Linked DNA regions of Tribolium castaneum. The main gene of each other region encodes a partner of the protein of the gene in region 3 in a complex. Links are inferred from orthologs where the notes say so. Each region holds a gene or a part of one and is shown on either strand. Other genes may lie near its edges. The genes, in order: MED8, MED31 and mediator of RNA polymerase II transcription subunit 25.

What was found.
Region 1: mediator of RNA polymerase II transcription subunit 25 (region 3) and MED8 share a complex: the UniProt entries of both Homo sapiens proteins name them as parts of the mediator complex. The link is inferred for Tribolium castaneum from reciprocal best matches to the Homo sapiens genes MED25 and MED8.
Region 2: mediator of RNA polymerase II transcription subunit 25 (region 3) and MED31 share a complex: the UniProt entries of both Homo sapiens proteins name them as parts of the mediator complex. The link is inferred for Tribolium castaneum from reciprocal best matches to the Homo sapiens genes MED25 and MED31.

Annotation. Positions count from the first base shown.
Region 1 is NC_087396.1:15,801,812-15,805,571, forward strand, and holds MED8 (mediator of RNA polymerase II transcription subunit 8), read right to left. Parts: upstream 2,244-3,760; 5' UTR 1,160-2,243; coding exon 641-1,159; intron 595-640; coding exon 229-594; 3' UTR 136-228; downstream 1-135. UniProt on the Homo sapiens protein: Component of the Mediator complex, a coactivator involved in the regulated transcription of nearly all RNA polymerase II-dependent genes.
Region 2 is NC_087401.1:17,495,612-17,498,277, reverse strand, and holds MED31 (mediator of RNA polymerase II transcription subunit 31), read right to left. Parts: upstream 1,702-2,666; 5' UTR 1,263-1,701; coding exon 1,250-1,262; intron 1,207-1,249; coding exon 1,099-1,206; intron 1,042-1,098; coding exon 713-1,041; 3' UTR 656-712; downstream 1-655. Other genes in the region: uncharacterized protein LOC656943, read left to right, coding at 2,533-2,666. UniProt on the Homo sapiens protein: Component of the Mediator complex, a coactivator involved in the regulated transcription of nearly all RNA polymerase II-dependent genes.
Region 3 is NC_087402.1:9,090,387-9,094,146, reverse strand, and holds the start of mediator of RNA polymerase II transcription subunit 25, read right to left. Parts: upstream 2,822-3,760; 5' UTR 2,724-2,821; coding exon 2,602-2,723; intron 1,295-2,601; coding exon 1,124-1,294; intron 1,076-1,123; coding exon 856-1,075; intron 809-855; coding exon 460-808; intron 415-459; coding exon 169-414; intron 122-168; coding exon 1-121. Other genes in the region: toll-interacting protein, read left to right, coding at 3,117-3,161, 3,209-3,507, 3,555-3,760. UniProt on the Homo sapiens protein: Component of the Mediator complex, a coactivator involved in the regulated transcription of nearly all RNA polymerase II-dependent genes.

The DNA.
Region 1 (3,760 bases), on a different chromosome or scaffold from region 3:
ATGTTCAAGTTCCGCTGTACTTATTGGAAAAGCCACCCGTTCCGACCAGCCACACTTCAACCATTTGTTGATAGTATAGTTTCAAAGTCTATAAAATTAATGCTTTTTATAATCTACTCATTACGCTACAAAGTGTTAATCTTTGTTTCCACTGTTATATTTAGTTATTTTTGTAAGATTATATCTTAATAAATAAATATATCTCCGTACACATTAAAAACTATTTCACTAGCGTCCATATGGATGTATTTGGGTGGCACTTTTGATGTTAGTCTTAATAGCAGAGGGCGCCTTATTCATCGTCATGGTTTGCGTGCTGGGGGGCATCTGTCCTTGCCCGGGAGTGCCCCCTGGGCGCCCCTGCGGAGGCACCATCATCCCTCCCGACGTGGGATTGGGCTGACCGTTAGGGTTCGCCCCCATCTTGAGTCCCTTCCCCATTCCAACAGCCGCCACAAGCGAGTGAGTATCAGCCACACTGGAATTCTGCTGCGTACTTCCCCTGGCGGAAGACTCAACTTCCCACTCCTCCCTCGCTTTACTCACCAGTTCCCAAACGTGGGACACAACCTTTTGATACGCAGCAATTTGTTTCTGAAAGTTTGCGTTGAAACATACTCTACCAAAAATTTTAACATACCTGTGCGTTCTCATACGATAAAGTTGACGCCTTGTGTTCCAATTGCATCATTTTATTCTCCGCCAACGGTTCTAGTTTGGTTCGAAGATAATCTGGGACTAAATCATGGGCGAAGGTTGTGACTCTGTGTTCGGTCATTTGGGCCAATTGTTCGTCCCGCTCGGGGGACAACATGAGGGGCAGTACTGTGAGATTTCTGAGGGTGGGGCATTTGTCGTGGCTTAAAACCTTCGAAAGGGAGGTGAGTTGGCCGGACATAAGGGCGTAATTGTCCAAAAATGTGGGCCAGTTGAGGGTCTCATATTCATTCTCCACCTTGTAAATCATTGAAGCTATCGATGATTTTAGGTCGTTGACACGCTGGATTATGGAATCGAGAGACGATTCGAGTTGTTTTTCTTCCCGTTGTTGCATTTTGCTGTATTTTTGGCGCTGTTTACAAAAACATAACCTTAACCACGATGACGGTATGTCGGCTGTGGCATTGCCGTCTCGAACTCCAGGCCTGCATGTTGACATTGTGACGTCACAGTAAGAGTCTAAATGATCATAACCTAACTTTCTGAATTTTTGCAAAAAATTAATTTTAACTATGTTGCGTCCAACGTTTTATGCAAGAAACGACGGAAAAGTGTATCTAAAGAATCCTGATACTGCAAATGTGGTCAACGAACGGTCAACTATAATTTTTATAGTGACATACGTTGTGATTTAAAGTACCTTATCCGTTTGTTATTACCCGAAAAACATATATTAAAGTTTATATTTTTTGATAGTTTAAACCATCTAGCCGTACTTAAACGTCTAAAGTTACGTCTATTAATACAAAAATTCTCCTTATGGGCCTAAATTTTGAATAACCGCGACTTAAAGACGACCGTTTTATCCAAGTTTTAACACAGGTTCTTATGGAATGCAACATGTTATTATTCGCTAAATATGTTTTAAATTAGTCGTAAAAGTGTGATCGAAAGTATAAGAATATGACGAAGAATTTTACGTCATCTCTAGTCACTTCGTGATATTTTATTATAAAATCATCCCGAAAATATTTCACATAAACACGACTGTTCTTGGTAACAGTCCAATTAGTTCGGGGTATCTTTCTTGACCATAATGATCGCAGGGATTCTTGTTTGGGAAAGGAAAACATAGGTACATAAGGACCATTCATGTTAGACACACAATTGGGAACACAACACTTATTCGGCATTTTCTAAAATTAGGAATGCAATAGGATTAAGTATGTTAGGTTTAGAGACTGAAATATGCCTTATCTGCTTATTTATTACCAAATTAAACGATTAAAAACAATAAAACCAAATTTATAAACAAAAATAATGCAAAACTATCCTAACCTATAATTGTCAAAATCACGTCACACAAGACTATAAACACACAAAATTCATTCCCTACAACGCAACCACAAAACAACAAATTCGTAAACAACAACAAATTACTTAATAACACTCTCAAAAACACCAAAAAGTACAATATATTCAAACGATGCGAACAAATGTCACGACTCTTACGATGACGTCACAATAAACAAAAGCTAGTAACCTGACGGCCTGGAGTTCGAGACGGCAATGGCTGTGGCCCTAGAATAACACTTTAATAGAAGCGGAACATAATGGTTGGCAATGAATTCCTAGCTGAAGCCATCTAGCCGCATCATCACGTACTAAAAATGGCGCGAATTTAAAATAATTCCGATTACTTTATATTTTTTTAATTTTTGCTCACGTCAAAATGATGCCAATACCTTATCAAATACAATTATTATGAAAATTTCTTAATTGTATTTGAAAAGGTGGATGCACAGACAGCACAGATGGAAGAATTTTACCCAACATGACACGATCACATTTAATGTTAAAGATATTTATTAAATCCATTAAGTTTACGAAACTAATAGTCGTCACCGAATCGATGATAAAGACATACTTGCAATCAGCCAAACTGGCACCGGTCTGGCACCTTATGTTTGCAACTTCTGTCTATGGGAGTCTCCTCGCAGTGTGACTCACTTGCGGTTCGATCTCAAAAAACTCACTTTTGGGAAAAACGCACCTATCTACGTAAACCTTCTGGAGCTCATTACTACGTTATATTTTTGGAGATCATGTTGTTCCTAACCGATAGTAGGCAATAGTCTAACCTAAAGACGACATTTTGATCCACTATAATAATAAAAATTAACGTGATATTATAAAAAATAAACTCAAATTAAAATCAACAAAAATGGCGATTCAAGTAAAAAGTGAGTGAAAATAAAAATTATTTTTCTAATGTTATTTTCAATTTGCACAAGAAAATTCATAGTGTACGGTCATCAGGGCACTCAGAGGAATCGTTTGGTGTAAGTTTCAGCTTGAAAATCCAGAAGTAGTTAAAGTAAAAAATTACCAAGTTATACTTTATGTTTTATTACGTGGTAAAGTTAACAACACACGTTAACATACCCTTTATAAACGTTTAAACACCCTTTTTCATGAAAAGGTTGACACGAGAAGTGCATTTTTCAATAAATCTCACTGAAATTTATGTCGTTGACTCAAGGTAGATTTGTCTGTCCTTAAACATGTTCAATAATAATTAATAGCGCTCTAGAAGAGCAGGAAAGCACACAAAAAACATTAAAGTTAAAATTTAACACTTCAGAAGAGATCATAATACACCCTAACCCTACTTTCTGAACTTTTGTCCTTATCTGGCAATAGCACATAATAAAGGTAGAGATTTCGACCCTAAATATCCTATCATAACGCTCTGAAAGGGCAGAGATGGAGACAAAATTCATAAAAGTGTAAATTTTGTCATTTTCGGGTGACAACATAACCCTACTTTTGGAACCTACCGAATTTTCAACAAAACGAAACAAACAAACAATGTGGTTATACGCATTGCGATACCACTAATTTTCGCACCAAACTTTCACATTGCCAGTTTCTGTTTAAATAAAAACATGCATTTTTATTTTTCCATTGACTGCATGCGAAACTTTTATAATTTTAGACGTTTATAGGCAAATACATTTGTCATAATTAATTTTTTTACATCAATGCTGTTCTATTTTAAATAATTCTGTGTATGAATGTTTTTAAATTTGACGAATTT
Region 2 (2,666 bases), on a different chromosome or scaffold from region 3:
CACCCCCATAATCGTAATCGTCAACCCCCGGAGGCACAAAAGCCCCATTTAAGGCCACTGCGATTTGTTCGCCAAAACCCAATCGCGTAGCCACCCCATATACAAGCCTCATAATCGCCAGTCTGCAAACTTCCATAAAAATCCTGTATGATACAATATTTTTTTACCTGAGAAAATTAATCGCATTCGTTTCTTTTTGCCGCAAAATCAAACCTTTGGTATTTTTCTTGCGTATTTTCGCATCACTAGCACACAAAATTATCACAATAACGACAAAAATTATTTTGAAAAAATTCATTTTAATTGTTGGACGCATCGAAACGAAATGATTGATTTGATTGTTAATAGAACCATGTCAACAATTATTAATAAACAAATCGTGTAAGCCAAGTACACTTTTGGTGTATGAAAGTCGAGCGGATTTCGTGTACAGTTAAGTCCAATTGGGTCGAGAAACGGAACTTGTATTTGAATTTGGCGGGGCGGGTTCAGGGACTTTTGGTTTTGAGGTTTGTTACAAATTTTGCATTTTTTACGATTTTTAAGGAAAAACAAGGAACTTACCTTAATTACAGCGACAGCCAATCAATTGTGATTTGGATGGAAATGGGTGGGATTTTGGTGCAATTGGTGGGATCTTGGTGATTTATGTAACTAAACAAAAAAATAATTTATTTCACTTAACCACCAAAAAATCACATTTGTACCCTACCTAGCTGATTTTATTGCTCAAATGTCCGTTACTTTGGCTATTCTGGTTAATACTTTGTTCACCTGTCCCGTTAACATTCGAAGGGGTTAACAAACGACTCCTCCGCCTGGTGTAGTGTTGCCACAATAAAAGTTGTTGATCGTCGATAAATTTCGAACACTGAGCATTCACCAATTCCCTCCGGAAGTGTTCATATTGCAACAAATCCAAAAAATACAAACACATTGGATATTTCAAATATTTGGCGTATTCGGGCTCCTTCCAATAAAGCAAATACTTCAAATAGTTAACAAACGTACTATCCTTAAAATAACCACGCTGTGCGAGAACTAAAACGCAAAAAATTGTATTTTTTCCCTCCCGAAAAAGTGAGGTTACGTCATTACAGTTGAGATAATTAGGATTTCCGAGACACTGCACAAACTCTAGCTCAATCTGGAAGCGGAGTCTTTGCTGATCGTCGGTTTCCGGAGCCCCTGACATATAATTCCAGCCTAAAACTTGTTTATTACCTAAATTTAATTAAAGGACGCTTACCTTTCCCAGCCATGTTTGTTGTGCATAAAATGGCGCGTGATTCGAATTCGAATTTTTTTAATTAATCAATTAGGATAAATGCAAGTTCGTGTTGTAAGAGCGTGCACTTAAAATGTCACAAGTAACAACAATAGAAAAGCGACCATTAGAGGCTTGGCAAATTCCCTTGTTCTTCTATTGAAAGTATTATTCTTGCGTAATTCAATTCTCAATAATAAGAAATCGGATCGAAACGGTACATGTTGTAAGAAGCGTGTGGAAAAATCAATCGCTGGTGAAAGTAGCCCAGTTATTTAATTGAGCGGGAAATTGACCACCAATAAGAAAATAACTGACTAACATAATGATCCCCAACACGAGGAATTTTCATGGAAATTCCCATGGTGGTGGTATATGGTAATGGTATTTGTATGAAAACAGGTGGATGGGTTGCGGCTTTGTCTACAAAACATTGCTGCTTTGTGTGTGAACAATTTTATTGTTTTGTTGCTGCCTTTCAGTAAGTCGAGATTTTTTCTTTTCACTTTTGCGGGATCAATAAAAAATTTAAAGTGAGGACTTTAATCGCGTTTTTTTTGGCTCATTTATTGTAATTTTGAATTATCTTATCATTAATTATTTCATTAATTAATTTAACAATTTTCTAATTATTTAATCAGCTATTTAACGCCTGATTAGCGTTTTTAGTCTCAAATATGTTTAAAAATCATAATTTCTTTTTAATTTACTGTAATTACGGTTTAATTATTATCAGTTATTATTACTATTAAATCCTTTTTAAGTAAAGAATTAATTAAAAAAATGCTTTTCGATTTTTACAATTTTTAATTAAATTAAAGTTTCTTGGTAATCATAATTAAAATAAAAAACAAAGTCACCCTTTTATATGATTTTGCTTCATTTTTCGATCATTTGTTTTATAAAAAATTTGATGCAATAATTAATTCACTGTTTAATTTAGTAAATATCAGTAATTTATCATTGCTAATTTTAATGGAAACACATTACTTATTATTTTATTAATGTATTAATGAGAATTGACGAAATTCATAAAAAGTTCACTGCATTATTTTGAAATTTTTTTCTATTTGTTAAAGCAATTGTGCAAAAACTCGTGTATTGTTACGCGGCTACTTATCACAAGTGCTGTGTCCACAATCAAATATTTGCCGAAATCGTGTTTGACATTTCCTTGTACGCCACTGTCCTATTACCTAACTTTTTCACCAGTGGCGTGCACGTTACACAACACGCAAATAAATCAATTCTTAATCGTTTTTGAGGTTTCTCAACAATGAGCAATAAATCAGCGGTTGCGGAATTCTACAAAAACCGACACATCCTCATCACGGGCGCCACTGGTTTTATGGGGAAAGTACTAATCGAGAAATTACTACGCTCATGTCCTCAATTATCA
Region 3 (3,760 bases):
CCACTGTTGGGATTCTGCGACATCGACGTCTGAACATTTGGTTGCTGATTTTGCTGATTCATAATATTAATTTTCATTTGGGGTTGTTGCTGTTGCGAATTAAGCGGCGAATTATTCCCCACTAAAACACGCAATTTACCTCAAACACCTCAAAAACTTCTCTTTTACTTTGTCCAAATTGATTAACCCCAGTCCCCGGCATAGAATTCGGGGGTTGTGTCAGCTGTGCAATCAGTGCGCTACTTTGGGTGGTATTAACCTGTTGGTTGGGCGGCAGATACGACCTGGGCTGCGTTGGGGGCAACATAGCTGGCCATCTGGGCCGGTTCGCTTGGTGGTAGCCCGGCGGTGCGGGCAATTGCGGGATGTTCATGGGGTTGTTGCCCATCATGGCCCCTCGGGCGTTCACCATACCTACCATGCCTGGTGTAACATTTTGTGAGTGTTGGGGGGTTATACCTTGAGCGCTGGGCGGCCGATAGACGGGCGATGGGCCCACTCCTGAGGGAACCCCGGAGTTGGCGGACGAGGATGACGAGATGGGGCTGTCATTGCTGGCTAAGGGGCTGGGGAGAGAGGTTATAGGAATGGTAGTGTTAGAAATTTGGGTTTGGGCGGAAGTGGCGGTACCGGCAGGGGGGCTCAGGGGGCGCTCCTTCAGGCTGAAGCCGCGCAGGAGGACCAAGTGACGGGGGTCCTTGGCGTAGTTTTTCGTCTGGGAAGCGCTCAAATCACCGCCGGCTTTCTCGAACAGTTTATACAACGAGGGGATTTTGCGCGGCGAGATAATCGACAAATTGATATTTTTCTGAAAGTTAATTATGCAAATTTGGTGGAAGACACTTGGTTAATTACTTCTTGCAAAATAGCTGCTAGTTGCTCAGCTGTCTTCCCTGTGTAAGCATGAGTTTCAAAAACCCCTAGAGAATAAGGGGGCGAGTTACACACTAGAATACAATGCTTTTGAATGTTGCCGTTATTGTCACGTTTTTGCTGCAATTCGTCAAAACATTGAAGGGTTGTGGCTAAACCTTCAGCAATGTTTGCATGAGACTCGCCTTTACCTCCTATAAGTCTGAAATAATTTTTACATTAAGTGATCCTTTTCCTAGTTAGAACTTACTCAAGTTTGTCTATGGCATTTAATACCTTACTGGGGCTTACAAAGGGCCCAATTGTGTCGCTACTGGGGTGCGGTAAGCAATCAGCAGCCTGATACACCACAATTCCGTAATAAGAATTAATCCCTTCTGATAGGAAGTTGCTCTCATCAATACTCCCCTGACTAAAATATCTAAAAGTCCCTCAGTTACAAGAACATATTCTCCAATTAAAAACTACTACTACTACTTTTTCGTATCAGGGTGTAATTTTTATCATAACAAAGCAAGGTTACACTGATTTCTCAGTACCTCAAACCTTGTTCAACTATCCGTTCAGAATTCATCACGAGAAAAAACAGAGAAATAAAAGATTGGAAATGTAGATGTAGATACAACAAAAATGATGATATTTGGAAAGAAAAGTAGTATGGGAATTCGGAAAAGAGGATGAATGGCAATGGGAAGGAAAAATATAGAACAAGTGAAAGACTTGAAGTATCTGAATCAGATATGTACTGTATTATTTTAGTCAATCTTCACTATTTCAGTTAGAAGAGAGTAATAAGTAGCAAGATGTCAGACACAGCCCATATAAAAGAAGCAGCAAAAAAAAACAAATGGGGTTTTAGGAAATGTTTGAAGCTTGGGAGAACGTAAATTTAGTGAAAATTTCAAGAGAAAAATAATAGCTTAGGGAAAAGCACTGTAATGTAGGGACTATTTTGAGCAGAAGTGTGGGGATGGAAGAAATACGAGATCGAACAGGCTAAATAAACAAATGCCAGAGTACATAGTAAAAAAAGGAAGAGAAAAAAATTAAGAGTAGATTAAGGAAAGAGAGCGGTGGGATTTGAAGAGAAATTAAGAATTCTGCGTGAATGCAACAGTGTTGAACAGAAATCAAAAAAGCAAATGAAAATGTTAGATGGAAAGGACGAAAAGACTCCTATGAGAAGAAGGAATAAGTGTGTATAGAAATTAAAAGAATAAGAGAAAGGGGACGAACAATGGAAGAGGAACTGAAATTGAGAGATTTGGACATAGATAGGCAGGAAAGAATAACATGGAAAAAAGAATCGAGGTGTAATACGTAAAATATGCCGTGCTTATTGACGGATGAACTCCTCTCATACTTAAGGAAGATGTAAAGTAAAGATAAGAAAATCATAGCCAGATTTAGACGTAGAAATGAAAGCGAGAACGAATATTGGAGAGAAGATTGGGAAACAGTGTGCAGATTAAGCGGAGAGTGTCACAGTTTGTGGAGGTAAGAGTGTGCAAGTTTGATACGAAAAAAAGTTTTAAACGAAAATGGTAAGGGAAAAGAATGGATGAAAAAAGTGACGGGTGCAAAAGAAAATTGGGAAAGGTAAAGAATATCTAGAATATCAAATAACTTCAAGTAGGACTGTAAAGCCAAATAGGCAATAAAAACAATTTAGCAGTAGTAGAGAAAAACATGTAATACATCAGAAGTTACAAAAAAAAGTAAACTTACTCTAACGAAGGGATGATATAATTGGTTTTTAGGTCATTTATATAAGCACCATTCACTGCAGTTCCCTCGATAACAAAAACGATATCGGCGTGTAAGCCATGATCAGCTGGACACACAACCATTGTTTAGTCAAAATATTAAACAATTTTAATGAAACAATTTAATACAAGCACCAAACCCCGCCATATTGAAAATACCTGTCAAATTTTTAGGGATGTTACGTCAAGTTAATGGCAACACTTTCATTCAGATGAAATTTTATTTTAGCCAAATTATGCAAAAATGTTGTCTGGAAAACTAATCAATTGAATAGAATTATTAGTAGATTGCATTTAACCAAAACTACCTGGCTATTTTCGCCAGAAACTAATAAAATTTAATCCCAGACTGGGATTATATTTTTTCCCCTAGTGTCAGGCGTGTTGACGTCTGCCGTGAACAGCTGATTATTTGTCATCAAACACCGCAAACAGTGAATTAATGCGTCTTTACTTTATCTGAAATAGTGTAACACCATGGCATCGGCGCTAACGGACAAAGTCAGAGAAAGGCGAAGTCGGGTAGGTGCCAATGATTTAAAAAATCGTGCTTTAATGCCGAAATTTAGGTCCTCCTTGGTCCCCTCCCGGAGGATTTTCTCCGTATCAGCACCTCGGTTCAGCAACAACAAGAGGCAGCGGATCGCCAAACAGCCATAGCACTGCACCACCAGCTAAGCGGTGGCCAACAGTACACAAATGTCGTTGGGAGGCTCAGTATCACTGTTGCTCAAGCTAAGCTCGCAAAAAATTACGGAATGACCAGAATGGACCCCTACGCTCGGATTCGGGTCGGGCATTGCGTTTACGAGACGCATACGGACCCGAACGGCGGCAAAAACCCGCGATGGAACAAAGTTATTCACTGGTAAACACATCTCAAAAACTAGCAAGTCCCTACTTTTCCATTTCCAGTTTGTTGCCTCAAGGTATTAATACCATAACGTTAGAAATTTTCGACGAACGCTCATTTACGATGGACGAACTCATCGCCTGGACGCAGTTCCAGATCCCCCAACAGGTACTTGCAGGGGAAACCCACGAGGATTGGTACCCATTAAATGGGAAACAGGGTGAAGGTGTCGAAGGAATGATTAATCTCGTGTTAAGTTATCTAGTGT